4 linked regions of the Canis lupus familiaris genome follow. The protein of the gene in region 4 interacts with the protein of the main gene of each other region in a biochemical or structural test. Links are inferred from orthologs where the notes say so. Each region holds a gene or a part of one and is shown on either strand. Other genes may lie near its edges. The genes, in order: SMURF2, ZFYVE9, ITCH and RNF11.

Region 1 (4,976 bases), on a different chromosome or scaffold from region 4:
ATTGTAAGAAAAGCTTATATCAGATATTCATAAGTACAATGAATACAAATTTTATATTTTATAATCAATTTCCTATAGAAATAACAGTTGAAATTGATAGCTTTACCATACAGCCGCTTTTAATGATTGTTAATGTGTCATTAAGAACAACCAAAGTACTTGATGGACCAAATCAGATTTTAACTACCAATGGCCTGAGGAATCTCAAATGTGGGATTAAATTAACCCTACCTCCTTAGCATCAAAAACACCAAACAGTTCACTAGGTAAGTGTGGGCTAAGGAATAATACATGGAAAAGTCTAATAATATTTGTCGTGGGCAGAGATCTCATGGCTCAAATATTTCTTCTCCAGCCTGTGTGTATGTGTGACTGTATGTGTGTGTGTCATCACGTAAAAACTGTTTATACCTTTCAGTAAAGGGACAACTCTATGTTAAAGATAGAATTGACTACAGTTCATAAAGCACCATGGAATCAAAGACATTTTATATAAACTTAAAATACTAGTATGATACTGACTTAAGGCAAAGAACAATAATTTTAAAGCATCTTACAGTCCAAGTGTATTGTAAACCAAATAAAAATTCACTGTGGGATGTGTCTTTTTTTTTTTTTTTTTAAGTAATTTTCCTTATTATGGAACCCGGATCTAAATGAACTGTTAAACACTTAGTCTAAAGGTATGCCAAACATTTCTTAAGGTCTTAACAAAGAATCAACTTTTTTTTTTTTTTCAAACAAAACGAGGCCTAGGTTAAATATTTTATTTGGCTTCTCAAGATGGACTGAAAAGTTGGGCACCAGCTCCAGACCAATTCCTGGACGCACATCAAACACAGCCCTGTCATTTATCCAGTCAGTCAAAACAATCTTTTCCATCTAACCCTTTAATGTTTATGTCCTAAAAAGCTGCTAATTGAATCCAGCTCTTGAAATCTATTTGTTAAAATCTATACCATCTAATTTGTAAATGGACAAAAATGAGAAAATATAAGTTAACTTTCCTGGCAAAACAGAATCCACCAAATATAACCAAAAAGGAGAGGGCAATGTTTTTAATATCTGAATAGCTTTTTCTTAAAATATGACAGAGACAAATTCTCAATGGTTTTCAAAAACTGAGAGTACCTCAAACTGCTTTTACAATTAAGGGGACACAGTGTATTTAATATTCCACAGAAAAATCTAAAAATACAAAATCACTCTATAAATTTAGCCCAGTGTTCCCTCTCCCCCCCCAAAAAAAAGAGGTGTCATCTTTTCTCCTAAGTTTACTCATGGATTTTTATAATGTATCATAGACTGTAAGGAAACCACAAATAAACACATTAAGATCTTTTAAAAATTTCAAACTCATTATATCTAAAAAAAAAAAAAAAACCTCCGAAATACCTGTTTTCTCCTTCATTTTCTCATGATGCACATAGCCTAGAAGGAAGTAAATGGTCAACAGCCTATTTCTGAGGTTTTTTGAACACCTAGAATCACAGGTTCTTTCTGTGATCACCACCACGGGACTGATTCCAGAGAAGAGCATCAGTAGATAAACCCTAAAGCAACAAAGATCCCTTATAAAGGTTTCCAAAGGAAACTGAATGGGGGCAACGGTAGTGGGGGGGGGAGGGGATCCCTAACCCAGGTTTTCCATTAAGAACCACTCAGTTCATGATTCTTTGCAATTTTTCCCTAGAGAAAGTAAAACTGTCGTACAAGTCATATATTTTTAAAATCGCAGCCAATTTACAGTCAGACTAAATTCTCAAATACCAAATTCACTGCAAGTTTTAATCTGCAAAGTTCAGCCAGTGGACTGGGATGTGACACACAAGCATTCAATTACAAAATTAGTCCATATAAATCTCAATGTCTAGTGTAGGCAAACATAATTACAGTTTATTCTCACACGCGCGTGCACACACATACACACACACACACACAACCTCTAAGGAAAACCATTTTTCTCACCACACATCCAAACATCGACGCGGATAATACTGAATGGTGAAACTGGGAGAGCGACAGTGATTTCAATTCCACTTTTCAAACCAAAAGTAATCTGTCCTTAAGATGAGGTGACACGACCATGTAAGAACACCAAAAAACGGCACTGTGTCAGCAAAATGTACCTGTAACGTTAAAGATTTAATGCACTCTGAATCAGAAACATTTTGCAAGAGAGAAAGAAGCCTTCTACCTAGGAACCCCTCCATACATTCTTTTCCATTTAGAAAAGGAAAGGGGAGGAGGGGAGAAGAGACAAAACTTCCCTTGCAAATTTGTATGAGCACATACTTCGAAACGTACCCTCAAAAAAAAAAAAAAAAGTGTGTTCTTAGAGCAGGTCTGGAGTTAGTAGTGAGACACAAGTTCTGCGGCCTACAAGGAACAACCCAAAACATGCTACCCTACAATCAAACACTTCCAAAACACAGAGTGTACAATGAGCCAGAGTCGGCGGAGCAGGCGGACACACCGGAAAAAAAAAAAAAAAAAAAAAAAAATCCACCTCGGTCTCCTCCCCCTTCCCAAGGACTTGCGTTTCAGGTGTGTGGCACCGGCCGCAGCGGCCGGCGGCGGAGAGTGAAGGTCTTGCAGGCGGGCACAGTGGGCGAACAAGTTACCAGGGAACACACACTCTCTCACACACACACACACACACACACACACACACCCTCCCGTTAAGCGCTCCATCTTTAAGGAGTGTTTACTGCGCGCAGTCAGCGGCCGGATTCAACAATCCCCGCCACGGGAGCTCGTCGCCCCCTCGACGACCCCACCTGGGCGGCAGCCCCGCGGAGAGCCGTGCTCCTCGGCCAGCGCGCGCCGACCTCCAGTCAGCCCGCGCGTCCCACCGGGCAGCCCGCCCCTCAACAAAAGACCCCGACACCGGTCGGCTCGCTCCCGAACCTCCCGAGCGGGGCGAGCCCGTTGCCACTCCTCTCCCTGAACTAGGCCTTCCCCCGTCCCCGACCCCCGGCTCACCATTGATCACGACCCTGGCCCTTCCCAAGGCCACAGGCACCCCCCGCCGGCTCGCCCGCCCCGCGGCCGCCCCCCTCGGCTCCCCTCACCTGTCAGGCGCAGCTTGACGGGCCCGTTCCTCCGGCCCCCGGGGTTAGACATGTCCCCGGCGGCGGGGGCGGCGCGGCGGCGGCGGCGGCGGCGGGGCTGCTGCTGCGGCGGCGGCGGCGGCGGCGGCGGCGGCGGGGCTGCGGCCGCGGCGCGGGGCCCGGGGCCGGCGGGCGGGCGGGGCGGGGGCGACGGCGAGGCGCGGCGGAGTCACCACAGCGGCCGGGGCTGGGGCCCGAGCAGCCGGCGCCGCGGCCGCCACGGCCGGAGGGTCCCGGATGTGCCGAGCGTCGTCGCCATGAGCCGCGGAGGGAGCGGGACGCCGAGCTCCCCCCTCCTCCCACTTCTCCTTCCTCGGCCCGGGCCGCACAACAAAGCGGCAGCCGCGGCCGGCCGCGCCGCCTCCGCCCGCGCCCGCGCCCCCGCCGCCCGCCCGCGGCCGCCTCCGCCCGTCCCTCCCCTCGGCTCGGCGAGGCCCAGGAGGAGCCGCCGGCGCTGCTCGGCCGAGGCGGGCGGCGCTCGGCGGCGCCGGAGCAGGACTCGGGGCTCGGCCGCTTCCTCCTCCACCCGCCCTCTTGTCTGAGGGAACCGGGTCCTGGGGCCGCCGCCGCCACTCGTCGGCTCCGGGGGGCGGGGAGGAGACGGGAGGCGGGGCCGGCGGGGCGGGGCCTGGCGGGCGGGCGGGCGCGCGCTGGGTGCCCGGGGCGCGGGGGCGCGAGGGCGCGGGGCGCGGGGCGCGGGGCCCGGGCGGGCCTGGGCGCAGGCGGGGAAGGGCGGAGAAGGGCGGGGGAGCTCGCCGCCGCCGCCGAGGGTCCCACGCGGAACTTGGTGGAGACAGCCGGCGAAAGGAAGAAAGTGGCGGCGCCGAGCTCGGTGGCACCAGGAGGGGCTTGGTGTCCAGCCCACTGAAGGGAGAGCTTTTGTCCGTGCGACGCCGACTGCACCTCTTCGATGCCCACTGCGTGCACGGCGCTCTAGGGGGCTGGAGCGAGCGAGGTTGGAACCGAGCCCCCTGCCCTCGGGGAATTCAGCGTCGCTGGGGTGAGGGAAGAGCCACGATTCCCACACCAGGCGCCCCTGCAACCCCCCTGCGGTGTTGTGCTCCTAGTATCCCGGCTGCCACCTCCATCCTGGACTCACCTGGTGGACGAGATCAGGTTACCTGCCCGCTCCGGCTCTTTTTCCAGCTGCATCTCGGAGGATAGGCGATTGATAATAATACCTTAAAGGATTATTATCAAGATAAGCCTTGGAGAGCAGTGTTTGAAAAGCTTTTCATACAGAACTGTATCTCGTTATCTCGGGAAGAAAAAAAGAGATAGAAAATGAAATAAAAATAAGTGTACCTTGCCATTTGACCCTGTAATTGCACTCTTGGGAATTTTTTTTTATACATATATATTAAGACAGAAGATGTTTCTTTGAAAAGTTCGGTTAATAACAAAAGGGGGAATGAGGGAACAGCCTAATGGTGAACTGTATTACATCATCCGCATCGATTTTTATGCAGCCATTTAAATGGCAATTATGAAGATCATATAATATGGAAGAGTTTACAAATAAAGTTTAAAAGCACATCAAAAAGTCGTATGGGGATCCCTGGGTGGCGCAGCGGTTTGGCGCCTGCCTTTGGCCCAGGGCGCGATCCTGGAGACCCGGGATCGAATCCCACATCGGGCTCCCGGTGCATGGAGCCTGCTTCTCCCTCTGCTTTTCTCTCTCTCTCTCTCTCTCTCTCTCTCTATGACTATCATAAATAAATTTAAAAAAAATTAAAAAAAAGTCGTATGCATGCAAAAAGATCTAGGACAATGAAAACTAAGAATAACAATGGGGGGATTTTTTTATGTGCTTTGTTAGTTTTGCTGAAGGCTGTTATTAATGCCATTTTAAATGTTTAATAA
Region 2 (4,289 bases), about 910 kb from region 4:
GTGAAAATTTGGAATTCATACTTTTTGAAAAATAGCACAAATTTCTCATTAACTTGTGGTTTCCCAAACACCTGGATTTATACTATGAAAATATTTCCAATTGTATAGTTTCTCTTTTTGGCATCACCAAATCATAAGAATGGGAGAAGAGGCCTTGTAGCCTAGGTTAAAGCTTTCTCTATCTAGGTTTCTTTGGCCATAAAAGAAAATATTTTTATTTATTTATTTATTTATTTATTTATTTATTTATTTATTTATTTGAAAACATTTTTAAAAACTGCAGTGGAACAGAAACTAAGTTTCAGTATTATCTCAATTTCTGAACCTTTAATGCATTTGGGTCCACTTGAAGTCTCATTTACATAGATGTCTGGGTGGCTCAGTCGGTTAAGCATCTGCCTTCAGCTCAGGTCAGGATCTCAGGGTCCTGAGATCAAGTCTCACATCAGGTCAGGCTCCCTGCTCAGTGGGGAATCTACTTCTCCCTCTCCTTCTGCCCCTCCCCCCCACTCATTGCTCTCTCTCCCTCTCTCAAATAAAATTAAAAGCTCTAAAAAAAAAAGTCTCATTTACATTGCTTTTTAAAAATAAAAAGGGACGCCTGTATGGGTCAGTTGGTTAAATGTCCCTGATTCGACTCAGGTCATGATTTCAGGGTTGTGAGATCGAGCTCCTTGCCTGGCTCCACTCCACTGGAGCCTGCTGAAGATTCTCTCTCTCCTCTGCCCCTCCATCCACTTGTCTCTTAAAAAAATAAAATAAAAACTGTAAAAAATAAAACAAACTTTGAGAATAGTGGTGATGGTTGTACAGCAATGTGAATGGACTTAATACCACTGGTTTGTACACTTAAAAATAACTAAAATGAAGGATTTTATGTTATGTGTATTTTACCACAATAAAAAAAGAGAAAAAAATTAACTGATAAAATACAGAATAAACGAGCATCTGGGTGGCTCAGTCTGATAAACATCTGACTCTTGATTTCAGCTAAGATTGTGATCTCAGGGTCCTGGGTCCAGGCCCCACATTGGGCTCCACATCAGCAGGGATTATACTGGAGAATTTCTTTCCCTCTCCCTGTGACCTCCCCCTGCTTGTGGGCAAGTTCATGCTTGCTCTTGCTCTCAAATCAATCTTTAAAAAATACAGAGATTAAAACAAGTCATTGTTTTCTTTTGTTATGCAGTGAAATAAAACTTCAAGTTCATTTTTCTTTGCATTAATATGAAGTTCACATTAACTACTCCAATAAAGTATAATGCTGCAAGACACATTTGGGGTTAAATCCATTTAATTAACAACTTAATAGAATACACTCAAAGATTATTAAAATAATGCTCTCTTCAGTATACTCTCTAACAATTAAGAAAAAAAAGAAAAAAGAAAAGAAGAAGCTTTAAAAAATGTTAAAATAAAAGCATTTAAAAACTGTTTTTAACATGTTTTAAAATATTTATAGGGGCACCTGGATGGCTGTTCGTTAAGTGTCCACCTTCAGCTTAGGTCATGATCCCCAGTGCCCTGGAACTCTCCCTTTGCCTCTCTCCCTGCTTTTTTTTTTTTTTTTCTCTCTCTCCCTGCTTATACTCGCTCTCTCTCTCTCTCAAATAAGTAAATAAAATCCTCCTAAAAAGACAAATAAAAAATAAAAGTGTTTATAGCAGCTTTATTCATAATAGCCATAAACTGGAAACCATCCAAATGTCCGTTAACAGGAAAACAGAAAAATTGTGGTATATTGTGGAACATTACCCAGCAATAAAAAAAATACCAACTTTTGATGCACACATCATGGATAAATCTCATAATCAAATCTTCATAAGAAGGAAGACACAAACTACTATATACTATGTTTGCATTTAGATGAAATTTAAGAACAGTCAAAAGTAATCCATGGTAATACAAATCAAAATAATGATTACCTTGGGGAAAACACAGGCAAGTATTGAAAAGGACACAAGGGAACCCTCTAGAGTATTTTCACTTGGATGGTGGTTGCATGGGTGTGTCCATAAGTTCATCAAGTTGCTTCTTAAAGATTAATGTGCCTCAAGCACAATGCTATCTAGATTTTATACTTGAATAAAGATTAAAACTATTTTTTAAAAAATATGTCCATGTCCTACTATATTTTTGTCTATGCTATTATTTAGGACTCTATCAGTTTTTAGCAGGTTTTTGCTAAAAATTTTGCAGTGTTCTCATCACTGGAAAATTTTATTGACAAACCATTATTACTGATTTGAAACCTAACAGAGGAAATAATCTATTCTACCTTATTATTTATTGATGCATAAATCTATCTTTTAGTTTCACAGAAAGTGGTCATCTGGTTTCCTCTTATGTATCATCTGTGAAAAGGAATTTATTTCATTCCCTGAGCACCTACTTAGTGCCATGCATTTTACTGAACCATTAAGATGAGAAAAATATATTCTAGCCTGGCCCTAAATTTGTTTTCCTACATTTTACCAGATAAGTGTTTAAAAATAGAGTGTTGAGGGATGCCTTGGTGGCTCAGCAGTTTGGCACCTGCCTTCGGCCCAGAGTATGATCCTGGAGCCCCGGGATCGAGTCCCACATCGGGCTCCCTGCATGGAGCCTGCTTCTCCCTCTGCCTGTGTCTCTGCCTCTGTGTGTCTCTCATGAATAAATAAATAAAATCTTAAAAAAATAAAATAAAATAGAGTGTTGAACAATGTAAAAGAAATAAAATATCTTGGTTTAGTTTTGCAAACTGAGCTGAACCGTTTCCCTGTAATATTCACTTACCAGAACTTCCTCTTGCAGTCAAACAAAATTTATATTTTAAAAACCTATCAGGGTCACCTGTCTGGCTCAGTTGGTAGATTGCACAACTCTTGATCTTGGGGTTTTAAGTTTGAGCCCCACGTTGGATGTAGAGGTCACTTAAAAATAAAGTCTTTAAAAATCTTACATAGAAACCAAAAAGAACAGAAGAAAGTAGAGATGCTCAGTTGAAGAGAAAGGAAGAGAGGGACTCCTCAGCCACCTGTATATGGCCTGGCCCTTCCTCACCATGGCACTCCCAAGACATCACCAAAGAAGCTGGGGAACATAGTTTGAAAACCAACGTACAAAGGCGGCAGGATTTCCTCTGCATGACCTCTATCTAACTACAGCAGTAGCCTGAGCCCACTGAGAACAACCTTTATAAGAGTCTTTCTCTTGGAAAAAAAAAAAAAAAACTCTAAATATAGAGCAAACAAGAACTGATTTTGCCAGGACACCTGGGTGGCTCAGTGGTTGAGCGCCCGCCTTTGGCTCAGAGTGTGATCCCAGGGTCCTGGGATCGAGTCCCACATCGGGCTCCCTGCAGGGAGCCTGCTTCTTCTCCCTCTGCCTGTGTCTCTGCCTTTCTCTCTCTCTCTGTGTCTCATGAATAAATAAATAAACCTTTATTTTAAAAAAACCTGATTTTGCCACCTTTACTTTACCCCTAGACACACAGACATATGCACTAAACTGTATCTGAAACCCACAGGGTTCCATAGAAAGGTCACTCAACTTAGAAAGCGGCAAGGCAGAAGCAGCACAATGCTGAGTAAACTAAGTACTCATTTTTAGCTGCTGTTTTATTTTCTTACCTCTGCTGGTAGAGGACTGGTAGTTATTGGCTTAACTGGGTCATGTGACACAGCCAGGGTTCCTGCAGAGGAAGTTCCATTCACCGTTAATTTGGCTGCATCAGCAACTTCTCCATTAGGCAGGATCCCATCAGCAAACCAAACTCGCCTCTGCTCTCTGGGCTGAGCCACTTGAGGAGCCAGAAAAATAAAACAGGTATCAATGTGATATTGGTAGGATTTCTTAACATCAAAGAAGAGAAGGTCACCAATTCCAGAAGTACTAAGAAATCACTTCTTAGCATCTTATAAATATAAGAATTGTAACTGTGTTTAAAAGTAGTTATAAATAAAATATGAGTTTAAATATATTCTTTATTTCTGTAACTTAAAGATTTAAAACACTTTGCTTTAAAATATTAAGTACACTTATGATAATGTCACATACTCTGTTCCCTATTATTGACAGAGAAACTAAAAAAGGTTTTTTAAGTGCCTAAGAAATAAATTAATAGCAGGGGAAAAATATCTAGCAATAGATAGCCACATCTCCTAAAAGTATGAAGTTTCCCCAGGAATTAAATATCTGGAAAAGTGATTTGGTATTTTTAAAGGGCAAAAGATGCCCTGAAGAATGTTCAAGAATTATTTACTAATAAAGGAAGAGTTGGCACAGATATATAAGAGAGTTGGGAAGCA
Region 3 (4,289 bases), on a different chromosome or scaffold from region 4:
AGAGAGAGAGAGAGAGAGAGAGAGAGAGAGCATGCCTGTGCATGCGTCAGAGACACAGGCAGAAGGAGAAGCAGGCTCCATGCAGGGAGTCCGACATGGCATTCAATCCCGGGTCTCCAGGATCACACCCTGGGCCGAAGGCGGTGCTAAACCGCTGAGCCACCAGGGCTACCCTACTAAATGGAATTTAAATAAAAACTTAAAAAAATCTAATAATTGCTTGAAGCAAGAACTAATAATAATGTGGTTTATAAGGTAAGAAATCTGACAACAGTTGCACAAATAGAGATAACTGAAATTATATTATGAGCTTCTTACTATTGTACAAGTAGTAGTGTAATATGTTATATAATATGTATATGATCTTAATTATAAGTGAGACATTATGGATATATATTATAATCATTAGAGCAGTCACTAAAATAATTAAAGAGGGATAGTTTTAAAAAAATCTGACAGGTTAAAAAAACTATTAATTCAAAAGAAGGCAGGAAAGGAAGAACAAAGGAAGTTAGGATAATTAAATAGCAAGGTGGCAGACTTCACTCCAACCATATCAGTAATCATATTAAATGTAAATGGTACTAAACAGTGCATTTAAAAAGTAAAGATTATCAGACTGGATGAAAATATTAAGATCCAAGAATATGCTACTTGTCAGAAACATACTTTAAATACACAGATATACAGGGCAGCCTGGGTGGCTCAGCGGTTTAGTGCTGCCTTCGGTGTGATCCTGGAGACCCGGGATCGAGTCCCATGTCGGGCTCCCTGCATGGGGCCTGCTTCTCCCTTTGCCTGTGTCTCTGCCTCTCTCTCTGTGTGTCTCTCATGAGTAAATAAAATCTTTAAAAAAATTTTTTTTTAAATAAATACACAGAGACAGGACTGAAAACTAAAGGATAGAGGAAGATCTATTACATAAATACTAGTCACAGGAAGGCTGGAGTGAATATATTAATATTTAAAAAGTGAAAAAGCAAGCAAGAGACCCAGAAACTGTAACTCAAGAAAAAGCAGATATATGGAAACTAACGCTGCTCTAAACAGAGCTGGTGTTGAGAATATGTGAATGAACTATAACTCTTGACACTAAAGTATCAATCAATTCAGCAAGCGTGAGAGGATACATTATAAATTATTTTACTTATAAATTTTATCTGATCTTAGAGTACTCCCCACAAAAATATCTGCATATAAATTTCAGATTCTTTTCAATGACTCAATGTTACATGGCACAGTGGTTACAGACTGGTATTTAAAAGAGTGACCTAGCACTATTTCTACTCTTAAAACTCCCAATTTGGGAGGAAAAAAGTGAAAGTTCTATATAATCAACATTCTTTTCTATCCCTTTATAATCTTCAAATTGTGGTTAAACTGAAAATATGCCAAGAAAAGGGGTATAAAACCTATCAGTACCCATTAGATTAATTCTTTTTTTTTTTTTCCATTAGATTAATTCTTTGTAAAATTTAGTTTAAGTTAACTGGCAGGACAGTCTCTCTACCCTGCTGCCTCCACAAGAATCTGTTCTACTTCTTATTCTGCTGCCAGATGTTAAAGTTGAAATTTAGATTGTCTACCTAATTTGGTCCTTAAATTTTTTTTAAGATTTATTTATTTATGATAAACATAGGGGGAGAGGGAGAGAGGGAGAGAGGGGGAGAGAGAGGGAGGGAGAGACACAGGAGGAGGAAGAAGCAGGCTCCATCCTGGGAGCCCGATGTGGGACTCGATTCCGGGATTCCAGGATCACACCCTGGGCCAAAGGCAGGCTCTAAACTGCTGAGCCACCCAGGGATCCCGGTCCTTAGTTTCTTATAATGTGGCTTCTCTATCTACCACTTGGGTATAGTTCTAACTGTTCTCTTAAGGGTTATAATAACTTATTAGCCTCCATATCTTCTAAAGATTCCTCATTTTCCTTGGCCTCTGAAATTCAGGACATGGTAGAACGGGATATCAGCTCTGAGCTGCCTAAAAGCACCACCACACACTATACTTCCCTAGTTACTATTTGTGACTTGTGCTTTCCAGCCTTTGTATCTCTGCCCATTAACTTCAGTTCTCATTTCTACACAAGTGAATCCTCCCCAACCTTCAAAGCTCATATTAAATATGACCACCAGCTACTTGCTGCATGATTACAACTAAATGATGTCTCCCTCATTTGACTTTCCATAGCACTTTCCTTGTTCCTCTCTCAACATACTTGTAAGTTAGAAAGCAATCAATCACGTCCTTGTTATACATGATCAGTTCTCATAATGATTAGTAAAAAGGCAAACATTATTTTAAAATACTGTCCACTAGTATCACTAGGCAATTATCAATGTGCTGTAGCCCAACAGAAAGGCTTTGAAGTACATTAAAAGGAGCATTCTCTCACCTGATATATTCCTCTTTATTTTCTTCTGTCACAAGAATATTGCCACCATTAGGTTTCAAATCATGACTCTTGATTTCACCTAAAATTTCTTTATCGACAGAGAAGTACATTTCCAAACCACATTCCTCAATATTGTTTTCTCTGCACAAATGAAATTAATACTATTTGTTACACTAATTCAATCATATAAAAAGTATTTAACTAAAGGACTGTGTTCTTCAATAATTACTCTAAAACCATAGGATCAAAATAATATGAAAACTGGAAAGATTACGCTCTAAAGTCATTATATTTTTACCTAACATATCAGGTGTATTCTGTAAAATTTATTATACTGGATGAGACAAGTTTAATATTTAAATTCAATAAACCAATTACTTGCTTACAGTTTGGGCAGGTTACCAACATCATAATGAAATCATATAGACTATATTTTGATAAATTAAACGGAAACAAACTTACTTAACCCAGATGAGAGAATTGTAAAATTCTGGATCAATAGATTCTAAATCCTTCAGTCCAACTGGTTTGTTCAATATACGCTTATAGAATGGCAAAGAAAAACCTGTGTCTATGAATTTTCCATGGAACAGAGCCTATATGAGAAGAAAATAAACCTTTTATGATAGAATGTTAGATTAATTAATTCTTCATATAAAGCTCCCCTGTCATCTATTATGGCACATTTTTGGGAAAATAGCAAATATAACAAACCAATCTTTTTTTTTTTAATATTTTATTTATTTATTCATGACAGAGGGAGAGAGAGAGAGAGAGAGAGAGGCAAAGACACAGGCAGAGGGAGGGACACAGGCAAGCTCCATGCAGGGAGCCCGACGCGGGACTCGATCCGGGGTCTCCAGGATCTCGCCCTGGGCTGCAGGCGGCGCTAAACCGCTGGGCCACCCGGGCTGCCCATAACAAACCAATCTTAAAAAAAAATCTTAGTGATGAGAAAATTTCAAATGAGAAAGTTAAATGTTAAAGAAACAATACCTTAATATTGGTGAATTAGCAAAGTAAACAGAGTTCACCAGTACTTACCATAGCAATAAACCTGCCAATAAAACGAAAATATTTCAGGTGATCTGGATTGATGTAAGAAGCGGGATTGATCTGCAAGCAGTAGTTATCCTTCCCTGCATATTCAAACAGGCAATACATTGGGTTCAACACCTCGTGTGACAAAAGAAAGAACCACTCTCTGAAATCAAAAGAAAATTTAGGGTGAAAAAACCATGCCAATAAATCAAAGTGCAGTGCTACAAAGTTCTCAGGAATCTATACTCCTTGGCTGGTGACAGTTTTCTAATCTCATGTTGATTTTTAACTGCTTCTATTCAGATAGACATCTAGTTTATAGAGATGATACTTACACACTCCATATTATATTTCAGAGAATCTAAGACATCATCGACTTAAAAGACACCATTATTCAATGAGCTACTAAAAATTTTTCTAATTATAATTGTGATACACATCCCAATGTCAGAGACATTTAAATCAATTTATCAATTAGTGAGCATTAGTCTTAGAATCAATGAAATACTATTATAGAGCCAAGTTTAATATTCATTATTAACCCATGTAGTTAAAGCAACTGAAGGAGGTCTAATATTATTCCATCTGTTACTAAGCCTCACAGCAATTCTCATCAGATGTCACTGCTCTCTAAAAATCTTGCAGCTTTGCGCAGTGGCAGTATCATAGCCAATGAGGTTTATCTGAGGCGCGATTATTGCTAATTGAAAGAACTTCCAATTTCACAAAGACAATAAAACACTTAATTGAAGCCACTCATTCATTAGATAAATGCTCTGAGGAGCTCTAAGTCAACTGTGAAAATATCAACCAATATTAAAATAAGATTATAGTTACTATACACTATGAGTAGGCC
Region 4 (4,860 bases):
TATGTGTTGGGGATATACAGATAACGTAGGGCTTATGGACACAGAGGGATTTGCCTTTTACTGTGAATGAAATGGAGATCCACATAAGGTTGCACCAAGAGACATGATTTGTAGTTGTTATTTTTTTGAGACATGATTTGTTTTACCAGAATAACTGACTGCTGGGTTAAGAACAGACTGTAGGGAAGGCAAGGGTGAATACAGTGAGACCAGTTAGAATACTAACTAAACACAGGAAATAAACAGGTACTTCCTATAAACTTTCACTATAATGGCATAGAGTTTACTTTTTAAACATAAATTAAATACATCTGTCAGGTCCTGCTAATAGGAAATAACCTAGAAATTTACTAAGTAGAGCTCTTAGCATTAGCCTACACCGTGCAACACAAAAAGGACATCTTTTAACCACCCACTACAGAAAAATACTGTGTTCCTCTATAATCAGCTTTAAAGATTTTTAAAGATCCTATTGCAGCTGAGACTATTCTTTCAAGAAATATGCTATTCTTGTAGCTCTTTTAATTATATACTATTTTTGAAGAAAAAATGTTACTTCTGTCCACTGAAAATATAAATCATTTCTTGGACTGGTGTTTGGACTGGTGTTTCTCAGATCATTTAAATTAACCATTCCTAAAAATCTTATTTCCTTTGGGAGGGGACAAAGCTTTTTCTACAAAAGTTTCTTTATGCTCCCATTAAAGTTTTATTTCAATTGATACGAAATTTGCATCAGTATCTGGGTCACTCACTTCAAAAAAGGGCAACCACAAAAACTCCTGCTGTCACAAATAACATGTTCCTTCATGATTTAAAAAAAAATCTATCACCTAGTTCTCCTGGAAAAACCAAATACAATTCCTAAAAATTAAGTTATCCTTAACACTGTATTACCGTGCGGGTAAGAGAAAAAGGGCCATGAACTCAGGATATTTAATTTGCCTGGAAAGGGATTAGGGAGTATGGAAGGAGATTTTGAAATAAAAATCATACCTCTACAAAAATTTGCTCAGGAAGCTAAAATAAGCACATTGTCCTATAGTATTTGAGGGAAATGAAAAGTGAAATATAAACAATTTACTTGCTTCAAAGATTCAAAAAGATGAAAAGACTTCCCTGTGACACTCTCTGGAAGAAACAGGTGTGTAAACTTACCACACAAGGTACTGAATTCAAATTCATTAATTCATTCAACATTTAAATGCTTAAGTGCCAGTAATTTCTTTTTTTTTTTTAAGTGCCAGTAATTTCATGAAACATTGAGGATACAGTCCTTGTTCTTAAGAGCTTAGTCTTCACTTATCCCACAAGTTACTGAATATTTACTATGAGCCAGATGCTGGGGATGTAACAGCATAGCAGGTGACATAAGGGTCCCTACCTGCCAGCAGCTTACACTGGAGGCAGAAGGAAATGCCATAAGGATGAAACCTACATCTAACAAAACAAAGATATTAACACCCCAAGTGTTGTTTGTGCTGCTTATGGAATGGGGGTGGGGGGGTGGAGGGTGCTACACAAACAACTGAGGGATGGATTCACAGAGGGAGGGAGGGGAAGGTAGAGACCTGGGAGAGTGGTGACAGGAGAGCTGAGTCTTTAAAGAGGATTAGATGTTCACCTTGCTGACCTTGGGGGAAGGGATCCTAGCAGAGGGAGCAACTGGAGCAAAGGCAGAGATGTGAACTGATGTATTTGGCAGGCCTGAAATACAGAATGTGAAAGATAAACCATGGAGGCTTCTGTATGCCACGATTAAGACTGGACTTTATTGGCATATATATATGAAAGGACCCTGAGGGTTTTATTCACAAAACCAGGATATGTGATCAGGTTTTTCTGGTGTGATGAGACACTGGTTTACACAGGAATGAGAGAAGAATAACACTAGATAATGATGTCACCACATGAAACAACAAAGGAGACTGCCCGGTTAGAAAACTAAACCCCCTTCAGCTAAAAAATTAAGGCATTTAACTATTTAAACCCCTCTGGAAAAAAAGCTAACCAATATCATTCAAAATTGAAAAGTAGAGAAAAGGTTTTTATATATTCTAAATAAGATCTACATTATCTATTTGGAGTTCAAGAGATCTTAGCTTTTTTATTAACTGTAAACATATATAGGACGGATTGCTGTACAAAAAGCGATGAAACTGTTTAGGAGCAAGTCTTTGATACGAAGTGAGAACCACGAGTAACAGAAGATATTCAAGTCAGGTTTAAAGGTTTCCAAAGTTCAAGATACTCAAGTTTTATTGAATCAGCGCGTTTAAAAGGTGTGTCATAGGGTGGAGCGAGAGGAGGAGGGATCAAAATTAATACATACACACACACATATGTATAAACAAGTAACTCCTGATGTCGCCAGCACTAAAATCACCACTTGATCTTTTCTCATGTAGGAGAAATGAGCACCTACCAGATCCAATTAACGCACAGGGTACAGGGAGGGGTGGGGGAGCGGATGGCCACACATGACGAGGAGGTGGGGGGCAACGACCTACCCAGAACCCACAGTCCAGGCGGCGGCGCGATGAGGAAACGTCCCCCACATCTCATACCAGACTCCACGCTTTAGACATAAAGGCGGAACGAGGTCATCCCCAAATTCCACAAGCGAGGAGGATACTGTCACCACTCGGATCCCAGAACTCAAGGACAGAGAGGGCCGTCCCCACGCCGTTCCTGATGGGAGGTGAAGGGTCCCCCTTACCCCGGGAGGGGCGGCGATCACCTTCAGTCCCCGCCCTAGGGCCGCCGCCCCCCAGGCCGGGCCCGGCGAGGCCGGGGCGGTGACAGCCCCTCGGCGCCCCCCCGGCCCCTCGGCCCCCCTCGGCTCCCCCGCTCCCCTCCGGCCCCGACGCCCCCCCACCCCCCGCTCGGGCCGCCTCGCCCCGCTCCTCCCCAACACACAGCCTCCCCTACCTGATATGGCGGCGGCGGCTCCTGGTCCGGTTCCGTCCCCTCGCCGAAACTAGCGCGGTCGGACTGGGACTCGTGAAGCAGGGAGATGTCATCCGAGGTGGGGGACTTGAGGCAGTTCCCCATCTTCCGAGGCTACGAGGTGTGATCCGGAGGAGGCAGAAGCAGCGGCGGGCCGTTCGCACGCGCCGGGCCAGCGAGGCGGGGTCGGCGGCAGGCCGGGCTCAGGCGGCGGCTCCCCCGCGCCCCGGCGCCGCCGGAGGGCTGCTCATGCCAGGCCCCGGCCCGGGGGCTCAAGGCTGGGCTCCGCTGGGGTCGCGGCGGGCGCCTCCTGCGAGGCGGCACTGGGGGGGGGGGGCGGGGAGACGGAGCCCTTCCCCACCCCGCCCCCCCGCGGGGCGGCGGCGGCCACCGAGCTGCCGGGCCTAACGCGGGTCAGGGGCGGGGGGCGCGGCTGCCGCGGCTGCCCCAGCTGCTGCCTCAGCGGCTGCTGCCCCCGCCGACGCCGGAGCCGCGGCCGCGGGCCTCATCCTACTCCGCCTCAGAGCGGCGGCGGCGGCCAGAACGAGGCGGGCCGCGGCCGTGCGTCACGCGCCGTGCGTGCCCCGGGCCCGCCCCCGGCGCCCGAGCCCTGGGCGTCTCCGGCCGCGGCCGCGCCCCCTCCCGCCCGGCGGCTGTTCCCGGGGCCCTGGCGGCGGGGCCGGGCCTCGGAAGCCGCCCTGCGGGCTCCCTCCCGCGGGTCCCTGCTCCCTCGGGCGCGCCTCAGGCAGCCTCCTGCCCGCCGCCGGCCGGGTGATGTGCTCGCAAACCCTCCTCCCAACGGGTCGCTCCCGGGTTGAAATGTTAGGGAGGCTTCTTCCCCGTTCTCCCTTCAGAATAAAGTCCAAGCTCGCCCGTGAGCCGGGCCACCGTTCACACAGCTGCGCGATCTTTTTAAAACATAAATTGACCCCCCATTTAAGACCTTCACTGGCTTACCCAAACCGTTAGGAGTATTCTTAAACGGTTTACAGATCTACTTCCCCAATCTCATTAGCAGCATTGTCCCCTCAGATATCTAACTGCGGGCTGTCTAAAGTACCTCGGGTTCTCTTAGAAGACTGTTCCCTCCGGCTGAGGCCTTCACCCGAACTGCTTCTCCGACCTACGCGCGCTTCGCCTTCACGCCAGACCTCCTACCCCCCATCAGGCTAACCGTTATTCCCAGTTGTCCTTCCTAAATTCAACTTCGTTTCCTCTAACCCTCCAGTCTGGACTGGTGGCCTTCTCCATGCCCTTCGTCCCTGAGCTTCTCCCCATCACAGCCTGATCGAGCCGAATCATCTGTCCCTCCTCTGTGCACGGCCTGGGTGCTGCCTAAGGGACAGTAGGCCCTCTTGGTTGAGTGAACAAAGAGCCCGAGAAGCAATATGTGCAAAGGAAGGAAATAAGAAAGATGAGAATGCTCCCAGAGGACAAGAAGCGGGTCTTGACTCTCTTTCTTTTATTCACCAGTCACTGATTCTTTTTCTTCCCTCGCAAGACCACATGCTAGGCACTAGGGAAGCTCTTTTACCGGATCTGCTTTGTCCCGGATGGAGCCCAGAGTCCAGCTGGGGAGACCAGTAAACAGTGAGTCCCTACTCCCCTCCACCACCAAAAGTTTTTGCAGAGCCCTAAGGAGACTGTTTAGACCATGTGGGTGAGGATCAGAAATGATTCTTGGAGGTAGGATTCTAAACTAGTATGGGCATGAGTACTCTAGCTTTGGAGTCCCTATTCTACAAAATCACTTACTTAAATGTCCTCATATCCCATATTAAATAGAACCGTTTTGCTGCATCCTGTCTTCCTCAAGACTTACCTTCCTTCCCATTGATAGCTCCACCTAAATATGGGATTCCCTAATCCCATGTTTGTATTGGAATCTTTCATACATTCCCAAGAATCATT

Evidence for each region.
Region 1: the proteins of RNF11 (region 4) and SMURF2 form a complex in vitro, tested with the Homo sapiens proteins (3 studies listed by BioGRID and IntAct, with this or other methods). The link is inferred for Canis lupus familiaris from reciprocal best matches to the Homo sapiens genes RNF11 and SMURF2.
Region 2: the proteins of RNF11 (region 4) and ZFYVE9 form a complex in vitro, tested with the Homo sapiens proteins (2 studies listed by BioGRID). The link is inferred for Canis lupus familiaris from reciprocal best matches to the Homo sapiens genes RNF11 and ZFYVE9.
Region 3: the proteins of RNF11 (region 4) and ITCH form a complex in vitro, tested with the Homo sapiens proteins (2 studies listed by BioGRID and IntAct). The link is inferred for Canis lupus familiaris from reciprocal best matches to the Homo sapiens genes RNF11 and ITCH.

Annotation. Positions count from the first base shown.
Region 1 is NC_049230.1:14,452,226-14,457,201, reverse strand, and holds the start of SMURF2 (E3 ubiquitin-protein ligase SMURF2), read right to left. Parts: upstream 3,178-4,976; 5' UTR 3,127-3,177; coding exon 3,075-3,126; intron 1-3,074. UniProt on the Homo sapiens protein: E3 ubiquitin-protein ligase which accepts ubiquitin from an E2 ubiquitin-conjugating enzyme in the form of a thioester and then directly transfers the ubiquitin to targeted substrates.
Region 2 is NC_049236.1:9,125,528-9,129,816, forward strand, and holds part of ZFYVE9 (zinc finger FYVE domain-containing protein 9), read right to left. Parts: intron 3,782-4,289; coding exon 3,612-3,781; intron 1-3,611. UniProt on the Homo sapiens protein: Early endosomal protein that functions to recruit SMAD2/SMAD3 to intracellular membranes and to the TGF-beta receptor.
Region 3 is NC_049245.1:24,118,764-24,123,052, reverse strand, and holds part of ITCH (E3 ubiquitin-protein ligase Itchy homolog), read right to left. Parts: intron 4,219-4,289; exon of another isoform or gene 4,077-4,218; intron 3,597-4,076; coding exon 3,437-3,596; intron 2,989-3,436; coding exon 2,855-2,988; intron 2,534-2,854; coding exon 2,393-2,533; intron 1-2,392. UniProt on the Homo sapiens protein: Acts as an Acts as an E3 ubiquitin-protein ligase which accepts ubiquitin from an E2 ubiquitin-conjugating enzyme in the form of a thioester and then directly transfers the ubiquitin to targeted substrates.
Region 4 is NC_049236.1:10,032,021-10,036,880, forward strand, and holds the start of RNF11 (RING finger protein 11), read right to left. Parts: upstream 3,159-4,860; 5' UTR 3,055-3,158; coding exon 2,932-3,054; intron 1-2,931. UniProt on the Homo sapiens protein: Essential component of a ubiquitin-editing protein complex, comprising also TNFAIP3, ITCH and TAX1BP1, that ensures the transient nature of inflammatory signaling pathways. Promotes the association of TNFAIP3 to RIPK1 after TNF stimulation.